Saccharomyces cerevisiae S288C: one gene and its partner. The protein of the gene in region 1 interacts with the protein of each later gene in a pairwise test. Each region holds a gene or a part of one and is shown in the gene's direction. Other genes may lie near its edges.

Region 1 (7,712 bases):
CGGAACTTGAAAACGCTCATCAAGGCCCCTTGGAAGGGTCTGCTACTGTGAGCACAAATTCTAACTCATACAACGAGAAGTCAGGAAACTCGACTGCTCCTGGTACCGCCGGTTACAACGATAATTTGGCACAAGCTAAACCCGTCTCAAGTTACATTTCCCATGAAGGCCCTCCCAAAGACGAACTGGAAGAGCTTCAGAAGGAGGTTGACAAACAACTAGAGAAGAAATCGAAGTCGGATTTACTATTTGTATCCGTCTGCTGTTTGATGGTTGCTTTTGGTGGGTTCGTGTTTGGGTGGGATACTGGTACTATATCTGGTTTTGTCAGGCAAACAGACTTCATTAGGCGATTTGGCAGCACCCGTGCAAACGGGACTACCTATCTTTCCGATGTCAGAACCGGTTTGATGGTTTCTATTTTCAACATCGGCTGCGCTATCGGAGGTATAGTTTTGTCAAAGCTCGGTGATATGTATGGACGTAAGATTGGTCTGATGACTGTTGTCGTCATTTACTCAATTGGGATCATCATCCAAATCGCCTCCATTGACAAATGGTATCAATATTTCATTGGAAGAATCATCTCAGGACTGGGCGTTGGTGGTATTACAGTTTTGGCGCCTATGCTAATTTCTGAAGTGTCGCCTAAGCAGTTGCGTGGTACTCTGGTTTCATGTTACCAATTAATGATCACTTTCGGTATCTTTTTGGGATATTGTACTAATTTTGGTACCAAGAATTACTCAAACTCTGTCCAATGGAGGGTACCATTAGGCTTATGCTTTGCATGGTCTATTTTTATGATTGTTGGTATGACGTTCGTTCCTGAATCCCCACGTTATCTGGTAGAAGTGGGAAAAATTGAAGAGGCCAAGCGGTCCTTAGCAAGAGCTAACAAAACCACTGAAGACTCTCCTTTAGTAACTTTAGAAATGGAGAACTATCAGTCTTCTATTGAAGCTGAGAGATTGGCGGGCTCTGCTTCTTGGGGGGAATTGGTTACTGGTAAGCCCCAGATGTTCAGACGTACACTAATGGGTATGATGATTCAATCTTTACAACAGCTGACAGGTGACAATTACTTCTTTTACTATGGTACTACAATTTTCCAGGCTGTTGGTTTGGAAGATTCATTTGAAACTGCTATTGTTTTGGGTGTTGTTAATTTTGTTTCGACTTTTTTCTCGCTATATACCGTCGATCGTTTTGGTCGTCGTAATTGTTTGTTATGGGGCTGTGTAGGTATGATTTGTTGCTATGTCGTCTATGCCTCTGTTGGTGTTACCAGATTATGGCCAAACGGTCAAGATCAACCATCTTCAAAGGGTGCTGGTAACTGTATGATTGTTTTCGCATGTTTCTACATTTTCTGTTTCGCTACCACTTGGGCCCCCGTTGCCTATGTCCTTATCTCTGAGTCGTATCCCTTAAGAGTACGTGGTAAAGCAATGTCGATTGCAAGTGCCTGTAACTGGATTTGGGGGTTCTTGATCAGTTTTTTCACTCCATTTATTACTTCAGCAATCAATTTCTATTATGGCTATGTCTTTATGGGTTGTATGGTGTTCGCATACTTTTATGTGTTCTTCTTTGTTCCAGAGACAAAGGGCTTAACATTAGAAGAAGTCAACGAAATGTATGAAGAAAATGTGCTACCTTGGAAGTCTACCAAATGGATCCCACCATCTAGGAGAACAACAGATTATGACCTAGACGCTACTAGAAATGATCCGAGACCATTTTATAAAAGGATGTTCACTAAAGAAAAATAATCTCTTGTAGTGTAGGATCAACTATTTTCGCATACTTGCAATGTTCAGCATTGCACCATTTCAAATTTTAATATTAATATTAATCGTTTTCGTTCATATGTTCATTCATAGTTTACAAATAATGCAATCATATGCAGAGATATTTTGTCCGTGGTTAATAGGGCTGCCTGTTATTCCTTTAATTCAACTAAATTACGTATGTCTAATAATATCAAAATCATCATGACGTTTTTGTTTTTTTTCTTTATTTTAAGTAGGATCAAACCAGGGGAGAAAGGGTTGCTACGCCTAACAACAAGAACTTGTATATCGTTTCTTGTTACTTATACTTTTCTGCCCACTTCTCTCTTACAACTGCTCGAGCTCATCCTTGGTAATAAAACAGTGAGGACGGTTACTCGAGGTTTCAACAGGGGAAAATAAATTTATATGATGAATCAAGAGCCCCGTTCTTTTACCGTATTATCCTTCATACTACATACTAGGGAAAGAACTGAAAACTCCGCTACCTGCTGTAACAGCGCATAATAAAAAGCAAGAATATAGACAGTTACTGTTGTTTACGTTCTTTGATGACATCATTCTCATCAGACATACAGAAACACATCCTTTTTGTCTACCCCGTATTTATTCCAACTTCAAAGTATAGGTACCGTCCGGTTATACTCTCATATACTTTGTGGCAGTTTGCTTCTTTAAACCTTGTTAACCCAGAATATTTTCAGTGCAAAAAGCTTCCGATCCTCAAATACAGTGAGAGAAAAAGCAAACTTGTCTTCATTATTTTTCTGTTTGGCCCTGTCACGGTTCTTTTTATGGCCTTCTCGAAGGATATCCGTAGTCAATTATATTCACGTAGTTGCCAAAAGTAATTTTTGGAAAACTATTATTCCTCCGAGAAAACCTCACACAGAAATCCTTGCAGGTCTCATCTGGAATATAATTCCCCCCTCCTGAAGCAAATTTTTCCTTTGAGCCGGAATTTTTGATATTCCGAGTTCTTTTTTTCCATTCGCGGAGGTTATTCCATTCCTAAACGAGTGGCCACAATGAAACTTCAATTCATATCGACCGACTATTTTTCTCCGAACCAAAAAAATAGCAGGGCGAGATTGGAGCTGCGGAAAAAAGAGGAAAAAATTTTTTCGTAGTTTTCTTGTGCAAATTAGGGTGTAAGGTTTCTAGGGCTTATTGGTTCAAGCAGAAGAGACAACAATTGTAGGTCCTAAATTCAAGGCGGATGTAAGGAGTATTGGTTTCGAAAGTTTTTCCGAAGCGGCATGGCAGGGACTACTTGCGCATGCGCTCGGATTATCTTCATTTTTGCTTGCAAAAACGTAGAATCATGGTAAATTACATGAAGAATTCTCTTTTTTTTTTTTTTTTTTTTTTTTTTACCTCTAAAGAGTGTTGACCAACTGAAAAAACCCTTCTTCAAGAGAGTTAAACTAAGACTAACCATCATAACTTCCAAGGAATTAATCGATATCTTGCACTCCTGATTTTTCTTCAAAGAGACAGCGCAAAGGATTATGACACTGTTGCATTGAGTCAAAAGTTTTTCCGAAGTGACCCAGTGCTCTTTTTTTTTTTCCGTGAAGGACTGACAAATATGCGCACAAGATCCAATACGTAATGGAAATTCGGAAAAACTAGGAAGAAATGCTGCAGGGCATTGCCGTGCCGATCTTTTGTCTTTCAGATATATGAGAAAAAGAATATTCATCAAGTGCTGATAGAAGAATACCACTCATATGACGTGGGCAGAAGACAGCAAACGTAAACATGAGCTGCTGCGACATTTGATGGCTTTTATCCGACAAGCCAGGAAACTCCACCATTATCTAATGTAGCAAAATATTTCTTAACACCCGAAGTTGCGTGTCCCCCTCACGTTTTTAATCATTTGAATTAGTATATTGAAATTATATATAAAGGCAACAATGTCCCCATAATCAATTCCATCTGGGGTCTCATGTTCTTTCCCCACCTTAAAATCTATAAAGATATCATAATCGTCAACTAGTTGATATACGTAAAATCATGAATTCAACTCCCGATCTAATATCTCCTCAGAAATCCAATTCATCCAACTCATATGAATTGGAATCTGGTCGTTCAAAGGCCATGAATACTCCAGAAGGTAAAAATGAAAGTTTTCACGACAACTTAAGTGAAAGTCAAGTGCAACCCGCCGTTGCCCCTCCAAACACCGGAAAAGGTGTCTACGTAACGGTTTCTATCTGTTGTGTTATGGTTGCTTTCGGTGGTTTCATATTTGGATGGGATACTGGTACCATTTCTGGTTTTGTTGCTCAAACTGATTTTCTAAGAAGATTTGGTATGAAGCACCACGACGGTAGTCATTACTTGTCCAAGGTGAGAACTGGTTTAATTGTCTCTATTTTTAACATTGGTTGTGCCATTGGTGGTATCGTCTTAGCCAAGCTAGGTGATATGTATGGTCGTAGAATCGGTTTGATTGTCGTTGTAGTAATCTACACTATCGGTATCATTATTCAAATAGCCTCGATCAACAAGTGGTACCAATATTTCATTGGTAGAATTATCTCTGGTTTAGGTGTCGGTGGTATCACAGTTTTATCTCCCATGCTAATATCTGAGGTCGCCCCCAGTGAAATGAGAGGCACCTTGGTTTCATGTTACCAAGTCATGATTACTTTAGGTATTTTCTTAGGTTACTGTACCAATTTTGGTACCAAGAATTACTCAAACTCTGTCCAATGGAGAGTTCCATTAGGTTTGTGTTTCGCCTGGGCCTTATTTATGATTGGTGGTATGATGTTTGTTCCTGAATCTCCACGTTATTTGGTTGAAGCTGGCAGAATCGACGAAGCCAGGGCTTCTTTAGCTAAAGTTAACAAATGCCCACCTGACCATCCATACATTCAATATGAGTTGGAAACTATCGAAGCCAGTGTCGAAGAAATGAGAGCCGCTGGTACTGCATCTTGGGGCGAATTATTCACTGGTAAACCAGCCATGTTTCAACGTACTATGATGGGTATCATGATTCAATCTCTACAACAATTAACTGGTGATAACTATTTCTTCTACTACGGTACCATTGTTTTCCAGGCTGTCGGTTTAAGTGACTCTTTTGAAACTTCTATTGTCTTTGGTGTCGTCAACTTCTTCTCCACTTGTTGTTCTCTGTACACCGTTGACCGTTTTGGCCGTCGTAACTGTTTGATGTGGGGTGCTGTCGGTATGGTCTGCTGTTATGTTGTCTATGCCTCTGTTGGTGTTACCAGATTATGGCCAAACGGTCAAGATCAACCATCTTCAAAGGGTGCTGGTAACTGTATGATTGTTTTCGCATGTTTCTACATTTTCTGTTTCGCTACTACCTGGGCCCCAATTGCTTACGTTGTTATTTCAGAATGTTTCCCATTAAGAGTCAAATCCAAGTGTATGTCTATTGCCAGTGCTGCTAACTGGATCTGGGGTTTCTTGATTAGTTTCTTCACCCCATTTATTACTGGTGCCATCAACTTCTACTACGGTTACGTTTTCATGGGCTGTATGGTTTTCGCTTACTTTTACGTCTTTTTCTTCGTTCCAGAAACTAAAGGTTTATCATTAGAAGAAGTTAATGATATGTACGCCGAAGGTGTTCTACCATGGAAATCAGCTTCCTGGGTTCCAGTATCCAAGAGAGGCGCTGACTACAACGCTGATGACCTAATGCATGATGACCAACCATTTTACAAGAGTTTGTTTAGCAGGAAATAAACTAAACAAGCTCAATATGCATATTTTAATGACTTATACAGTATTTAATTTCTCAGTAAATTTTATAAAGGTGATATTATATTGGTGTTAAAACAAAATTCTTGTCAAATTCATAAACAGATGTTCTTTTCTTTGCTAGTTCTTGACCTTCACCAAGGAACAAGAAATTTCATTCTGGCACTCTTCCGAGGAAAAATTTTATATGATATAGTATGGGTTAATACCACATAGGCGCTATACATAGTTCAAACGCCCGCTTATGATTTCGGAAAAATGTCAAATGAATAGAAATTGACAACGCTGCTGCTTCAACATCTAGTAGTGTTACTTAAGCCTGTTAGGATGTTGTTTTTAGGTATTTATAATTACTAGCAATAATTTCCATTAACAGATAACCGAGTCGATCTCAATGGATATACAGTTGCCAATCATATGTATTTTCTGACTGGCACAGGGAGACACGAAAAACACTTGCTTGATAAGAGGTGAAGCAGTAAAGAAAAGACGACAAGTAAAAAAAAAATGACGAGAAAATGCACGCTACCATCGAAAAGGCGACCTTTCCAATCCACTAAGAGTTACTTTAAAATCGTTGAAAAAGCATTATGACACTATGTTTGGCGCCAATAAGAATACTACGTCATTATGCATGGAGGAGAACCGAATATTTTTTTTTTATTCCAGCCCTCTTCATGTAAATGTTCTGATTGATAAAAGAATGAAAAGCCCTAGGGTTATTAAATCCAAAACTTAGGCTGCCAACCTGACATTGTAGACAAGACACGACAGCGGTAAGAGAAGATCTGAACAGCTGACGCAAGTACCCCAGATATTTTCCAACTTTTACGGGAAAAAAGACTAATAGGAAGGAGGTGGGGAATCATGCTTTAGTTTCAACTTTGAGGTTTAGCTTTCAGACACGAAAACTAGAAGGAACATTATGTTGTTTCACTTTCATTTTGGAACAGAACTACGCTACCGCATCAATTTGCGGGAATTTTGATTTGGCAACGCGCACGTATTTTCTAGCGATGCGTAAAAGTAAAACAGTCAAGATAGTCTCATCCTAGATGGTGCAAAGTTAGGACCGAAAAGCCAGGTTCAACGATGTTGCCAAATAGTCGTACCTGAAAAGCTTAGGTTTTCCATTTATGCGAATATCTCTATGCAAAATAAATTTTAAGTACCTCAAAATTTTTTTGCACCGATCAAGATATAATAATCAGATGAGAATGAATAAACAAGACGCAGATGAAGGCTGGGCCTCCAACGAAACCCAGTACACTGCAGTAATTTCCACCAAGAAACGCTTGGCCTTCGTAAAGTCACTTGCAGCAGCATAGCGGAAACAAGGAAGAAAAATATCCGAGTCAGCTGGTTCCGGGATTTTTTTTTGCCCAATAGGAAAAACAATGCCCAAACCGGAACCATTTCCCGTTTTTTCTTTCGGTTTATCCGCTTTCTTCCAAAAAAATCCGTACAAAATGGAAAAACAATGTTTATATAATATTCCACATTTTTCCTGGCCTGCGTCTCTTTCTGTGGAGAAGAAGATATTTCCCTGAGCAGTTTTTTTTTCTGACCCCTTTTTTTTTCCCACCCCCCCCGGTTTTTTTTCCATGGGGCCCCATATTCCCCCGCCTGCAGGAAAACTTGGGGAAAGAGGAAAAACACTTCGGATAAAAACGGTCAAGAAGCTCTTCGACGATTTAGTGCCACCTTCATGAAAAATTCCAGAGTTTTTTCCAGCTGCTTTGATTTTACAGTCCATTATTCGGCGTCTAACGATTCTGATTAAGAAACAACGGAGGAAAACTCAAATTCTAATATAATATTTTTAAGTTTATGAAGGTGGGGTGGTAAGAAAAGCAACTAAAATAATCTTCAAGTCAATTAGTGGTGAAAAGCTTCAACACTGGGGAATGAATAATATGTCATCTAGAAAAAATTTTATATAAATACTCAGTGTTTTATTCATTATTCTCGATTCATTCACTTCAATTCCTCTTCATGAGTAATAGAAACCATAAAGAAAAGATATATTCAAAGCCTCTTATCAAGGTTTGGTTTTGAAACACTTTTACAATAAAATCTGCCAAAAATGTCTGAAGAAGCTGCCTATCAAGAGGATACAGCAGTCCAAAATACTCCAGCTGATGCTTTGTCGCCAGTTGAATCCGA
Region 2 (6,546 bases), on another chromosome or scaffold:
AGGAACCTTAGCTAAAAGATAGAAAAAAAGAGCACTACAAAAATCTTATCCTCGATTTGAAATACTAATGTCGAGCCAGATCAAATTAAATGAAATCGAAATGATATAACGTTGCTCTTGCACGTGTATTTCGCTGCTTAGGAAAGTTGTTTCCACATATTATCTTTTGTACGATTTTAAACAGTAAAATCGATGCATATTAAGGGAGGCCCAATACCCGCGGGCAGTAACCGCATCTTTGGAAATACCGGGTAATAATAAATGCCCGGGAAAAAAGAGCATAAAACAGAGAGGCGATATAGGAATGAATATGTGCTATTTACGGAAGGGAAAAACACTTATTGTTTTTCTGAAATGTGACACAGTAAAGTCCGTCATATACGGTTCTCCGTTGGGCGCTACCACACACATATATATAAGCCTGAATGCAGTAGACAAATTTCAGATATCATACAAAGGAAGCGTTCTCTGGGACCCCTTTCTATGTTTAGATGGTTCACTGAACTTGTTCGTTAACGTAAATATGTCTTCCTCTTTGATTCCAACAATGATATTATAAGGAAATTATCGTCACAATCTAATCAACAAGGACAAAGAAAAGAAAAAGTTGAGAGAGAGAACAAAAGTTCAAATCAAAGAAAAAAAAGAACATCAAATTACCTATTACAATAAACAATTAAGCCATACTCGCAACAATTTGCCATAATAGAAAGCAGCACCTCGTTGGCGCAGTCCCTTACATAGTACACAACATTTATCACTTCACACAATCAGGAGTGGAACTCAATGGAAAACAACACCACACGTATGATCTTACTAATAAAAGAACATGAACGTTCCTCAGCGCGAACGTTCGCATTCTGCGCCTTCGAGCACAGGATAAGTTGCAGGAAGCCATCACATCTATGCAACGATTATCACGACACAACCTTGCCGCCGAGAAAACGTCCGTGGAGAACCATTCGGTCGATTGCTTCCCACGGAACGAGTGGACTGAAACTTAAGACTGCCCCTCTCTTTCCGCGGAATCGCTCATGCCGCGGTGCCACAACATTTTCAGATTTACTAAGACTCCGGTGAGTGTGGGCTCACCCGCGGGTCGTGATCACGATTCAGCACCCTTTGGACTCGTGATTCCGTGGAAAGGTCAGATCTGTATTCCTACTTATGGTAATGTGCTAAAAAAAGAGAAATGTCTCCGCGGAACTCTTCTACGCCGTGGTACGATATCTGTTGAACGTAATCTGAGCAATACAAACAAGGCCTCTCCTATACATATATAATTGTGATGTGCATAACCTTATGGCTGTTCGCTTTTATTATCATACCTTAGAATGAAATCCAAAAGAAAAAAGTCACGCAAAGTTGCAAACATATAACAACTGTGTTAGTTATCACTCGACTTTGTTATTCTAATTATAAATAAATTGGCAACTAGGAACTTTCGAAAAAGAAATTAAAGACCCTTTTAAGTTTTCGTATCCGCTCGTTCGAAAGACTTTAGACAAAAATGCCCGAGGCCAAGCTTAACAATAACGTCAACGACGTTACTAGCTACTCCTCCGCGTCTTCTTCTACTGAAAACGCTGCTGATCTACACAATTATAATGGGTTCGATGAGCATACAGAAGCTCGAATCCAAAAACTGGCAAGGACTCTGACCGCACAGAGTATGCAAAACTCCACTCAATCGGCACCCAACAAAAGTGATGCTCAGTCTATATTTTCTAGCGGTGTGGAAGGTGTAAACCCGATATTCTCTGATCCTGAAGCTCCAGGCTATGACCCAAAATTGGACCCCAACTCCGAAAATTTTTCTAGTGCCGCCTGGGTTAAGAATATGGCTCACCTAAGTGCGGCAGACCCTGACTTTTATAAGCCTTATTCCTTAGGTTGCGCTTGGAAGAACTTAAGTGCTTCTGGTGCTTCCGCAGATGTCGCCTATCAGTCAACTGTGGTTAATATTCCATACAAAATCCTAAAAAGTGGGCTGAGAAAGTTTCAACGTTCTAAAGAAACCAATACTTTCCAAATCTTGAAACCAATGGATGGTTGCCTAAACCCAGGTGAATTGCTAGTCGTTTTAGGTAGACCAGGCTCTGGCTGTACTACTTTATTAAAATCCATCTCTTCAAATACTCATGGTTTTGATCTTGGTGCAGATACTAAAATTTCTTACAGCGGCTACTCAGGTGATGATATTAAGAAACATTTTCGTGGTGAAGTTGTTTACAACGCAGAAGCTGATGTACATCTGCCTCATTTAACAGTCTTCGAAACTTTGGTTACAGTAGCGAGGTTGAAAACCCCACAGAACCGTATCAAGGGTGTCGATAGGGAAAGTTATGCGAATCATTTGGCGGAAGTAGCAATGGCAACGTACGGTTTATCGCATACAAGGAATACAAAAGTTGGTAACGACATCGTCAGAGGTGTTTCCGGTGGTGAAAGGAAGCGTGTCTCCATTGCTGAAGTCTCCATCTGTGGATCCAAATTTCAATGCTGGGATAATGCTACAAGGGGTTTGGATTCCGCTACCGCTTTGGAATTTATTCGTGCCTTAAAGACTCAAGCTGATATTTCCAATACATCTGCCACAGTGGCCATCTATCAATGTTCTCAAGATGCGTACGACTTGTTCAATAAAGTCTGTGTTTTGGATGATGGTTATCAGATCTACTATGGCCCCGCCGATAAGGCCAAGAAGTACTTTGAAGATATGGGGTATGTTTGTCCAAGCAGACAAACCACCGCAGATTTTTTGACCTCAGTTACAAGTCCCTCTGAGAGAACCCTGAACAAAGATATGCTAAAAAAAGGTATTCATATACCACAGACCCCGAAGGAAATGAACGATTACTGGGTAAAATCTCCAAATTACAAAGAGCTAATGAAAGAAGTCGACCAACGATTATTGAATGACGATGAAGCAAGCCGTGAAGCTATTAAGGAAGCCCACATTGCTAAGCAGTCCAAGAGAGCAAGACCTTCCTCTCCTTATACTGTCAGCTACATGATGCAAGTTAAATACCTATTAATCAGAAATATGTGGAGACTGCGAAATAATATCGGGTTTACATTATTTATGATTTTGGGTAACTGTAGTATGGCTTTAATCTTGGGTTCAATGTTTTTCAAGATCATGAAAAAGGGTGATACTTCTACATTCTATTTCCGTGGTTCTGCTATGTTTTTTGCAATTCTATTCAATGCATTTTCTTCTCTGTTAGAAATCTTTTCGTTATATGAGGCCAGACCAATCACTGAAAAACATAGAACATATTCGTTATACCATCCAAGTGCTGACGCTTTTGCATCAGTTCTATCAGAAATACCCTCAAAGTTAATCATCGCTGTTTGCTTCAATATAATCTTCTATTTCTTAGTAGACTTTAGAAGAAATGGTGGTGTATTCTTTTTCTACTTATTAATAAACATTGTCGCGGTTTTCTCCATGTCTCACTTGTTTAGATGTGTTGGTTCCTTAACAAAGACATTGTCAGAAGCTATGGTTCCCGCTTCTATGTTATTGTTGGCTCTATCCATGTATACCGGTTTTGCTATTCCTAAGAAGAAGATCCTACGTTGGTCTAAATGGATTTGGTATATCAATCCGTTGGCTTACTTATTCGAATCTTTGTTAATTAACGAGTTTCATGGTATAAAATTCCCCTGCGCTGAATATGTTCCTCGTGGTCCTGCGTATGCAAACATTTCTAGTACAGAATCTGTTTGTACCGTGGTTGGAGCTGTTCCAGGCCAAGACTATGTTCTGGGTGATGATTTCATTAGAGGAACTTATCAATACTACCACAAAGACAAATGGCGTGGTTTCGGTATTGGTATGGCTTATGTCGTCTTCTTTTTCTTTGTCTATCTATTCTTATGTGAATACAACGAGGGTGCTAAACAAAAAGGTGAAATATTAGTTTTCCCACGCAGTATAGTTAAAAGAATGAAGAAAAGAGGTGTACTAACTGAAAAGAATGCAAATGACCCCGAAAACGTTGGGGAACGTAGTGACTTATCCAGCGATAGGAAAATGCTACAAGAAAGCTCTGAAGAGGAATCCGATACTTACGGAGAAATTGGTTTATCCAAGTCAGAGGCTATATTTCACTGGAGAAACCTTTGTTACGAAGTTCAGATTAAGGCCGAAACAAGACGTATTTTGAACAATGTTGATGGTTGGGTTAAACCAGGTACTTTAACAGCTTTAATGGGTGCTTCAGGTGCTGGTAAAACCACACTTCTGGATTGTTTGGCCGAAAGGGTTACCATGGGTGTTATAACTGGTGATATCTTGGTCAATGGTATTCCCCGTGATAAATCTTTCCCAAGATCCATTGGTTATTGTCAGCAACAAGATTTGCATTTGAAAACTGCCACTGTGAGGGAGTCATTGAGATTTTCTGCTTACCTACGTCAACCAGCTGAAGTTTCCATTGAAGAAAAGAACAGATATGTTGAAGAAGTTATTAAAATTCTTGAAATGGAAAAATATGCTGATGCTGTTGTTGGTGTTGCTGGTGAAGGTTTAAACGTTGAACAAAGAAAAAGATTAACCATTGGTGTTGAATTAACTGCCAAACCAAAACTGTTGGTCTTTTTAGATGAACCTACTTCTGGTTTGGATTCTCAAACTGCTTGGTCTATTTGTCAGCTAATGAAAAAGTTGGCAAATCATGGTCAAGCAATTCTATGTACTATTCACCAACCCTCTGCTATTTTGATGCAAGAATTCGATCGTTTACTATTTATGCAACGTGGTGGTAAGACTGTCTACTTTGGCGACTTGGGCGAAGGTTGTAAAACTATGATCGATTATTTTGAAAGCCATGGTGCTCATAAATGCCCTGCTGACGCCAACCCAGCTGAATGGATGCTAGAAGTTGTTGGTGCAGCTCCAGGCTCTCATGCAAATCAAGATTATTACGAAGTTTGGAGGAATTCTGAAGAGTACAGGGCCGTTCAATCTGAATTAGATTGGATGGAAAGAGAATTACCAAAGAAAGGTTCGATAACTGCAGCTGAGGACAAACACGAATTTTCACAATCAATTATTTATCAAACAAAATTGGTCAGTATTCGTCTATTCCAGCAATATTGGAGATCTCCAGATTATTTATGGTCGAAGTTTATTTTAACTATTTTCAATCAATTGTTCATCGGTTTCACTTTCTTCAAAGCAGGAACCTCGCTACAGGGTTTACAAAATCAAATGTTGGCTGTGTTCATGTTTACGGTTATTTTCAATCCTATTCTACAACAATACCTACCATCTTTTGTCCAGCAAAGAGATTTGTATGAGGCCAGGGAACGCCCCTCAAGGACTTTTTCTTGGATTTCATTTATCTTCGCTCAAATATTCGTGGAAGTTCCATGGAATATATTGGCAGGTACTATTGCTTATTTTATCTACTATTATCCAATTGGATTTTACTCCAACGCGTCTGCAGCTGGCCAGTTGCATGAAAGGGGTGCTTTATTTTGGTTGTTCTCTTGTGCTTTCTACGTTTATGTTGGTTCTATGGGTCTGCTTGTCATTTCATTCAACCAAGTTGCAGAAAGTGCAGCTAACTTAGCCTCTTTGTTGTTTACAATGTCTTTGTCTTTTTGTGGTGTTATGACTACCCCAAGTGCCATGCCTAGATTTTGGATATTCATGTACAGGGTTTCACCTTTGACTTATTTCATTCAGGCTCTGTTGGCTGTTGGTGTTGCTAACGTAGACGTCAAATGCGCTGATTACGAATTGCTAGAATTCACACCACCATCCGGTATGACATGTGGGCAGTACATGGAACCATATTTACAACTAGCAAAGACTGGTTACTTAACTGATGAAAATGCCACTGACACCTGTAGTTTCTGTCAAATATCTACAACCAATGATTACTTAGCTAATGTCAATTCTTTCTACAGTGAGAGATGGAGAAATTATGGTATCTTCATCTGTTATATTGCATTCAATTATATCGCTGGTGTCTTTTTCTACTGGTTAGCAAGAGTGCCTAAAAAGAACGGTAAACTCTCCAAGAAATAATAGAATTTTGAATTTGGTTAAGAAAAGAAACTTACCAAGATGGACTTTTTTAATAAACATACATAATCACTACATATAGGTGCGTAATAATAAGTTTTTATTTTTTTTTTCTTAATTCAGCGAGCTTTCTACATTTCAATTTTCTTGAATTTACCAGCTCTGATAAATCAAAGTTCAATGTCCGAAAGAATTCCGAGAATTTTATTCCTAGGTTATCTCATCGGTACTTTTTTTTTATAGGCATCAGCATTTAGTGTGAAAACATTATTTCTTAACTGTGCCTTACGGTTAAAAAGAAAGGACGCAATGGATATAGTTAAAATATAAGATATATTATATCATTATCTGTCCGAATGGCGAACCGTCTTCTCATATACGGCCTTATTTTGTGGGTAAGTATAATCGGATCTTTTGCATTAGATAGGAACAAAACTGCTCAAAATGCGAAGATTGGTCTACATGATACCACTGTGATCACGACTGGAAGTACAACGAACGTG

The links. Proteins that work in one complex are often made in the same cells at the same time.
Region 2: the proteins of HXT1 (region 1) and PDR5 interact in binary tests that used the Saccharomyces cerevisiae proteins (3 or more experiments, as listed by UniProt).

Annotation. Positions count from the first base shown.
Region 1 is NC_001140.6:288,732-296,443, reverse strand, and holds HXT1 (hexose transporter HXT1), read left to right. Parts: upstream 1-3,818; coding exon 3,819-5,531; downstream 5,532-7,712. Other genes in the region: hexose transporter HXT5, read left to right, coding at 1-1,775; AHT1 (Aht1p), read right to left, coding at 6,754-7,302; hexose transporter HXT4, read left to right, coding at 7,633-7,712. UniProt on the Saccharomyces cerevisiae protein: Low-affinity glucose transporter. HXT1 is as well involved in the transport of mannose.
Region 2 is NC_001147.6:618,330-624,875, forward strand, and holds PDR5 (ATP-binding cassette multidrug transporter PDR5), read left to right. Parts: upstream 1-1,510; coding exon 1,511-6,046; downstream 6,047-6,546. Other genes in the region: SLP1 (Slp1p), read left to right, coding at 6,400-6,546. UniProt on the Saccharomyces cerevisiae protein: Active efflux of weakly charged organic compounds of 90 cubic Angstroms to 300 cubic Angstroms surface volume.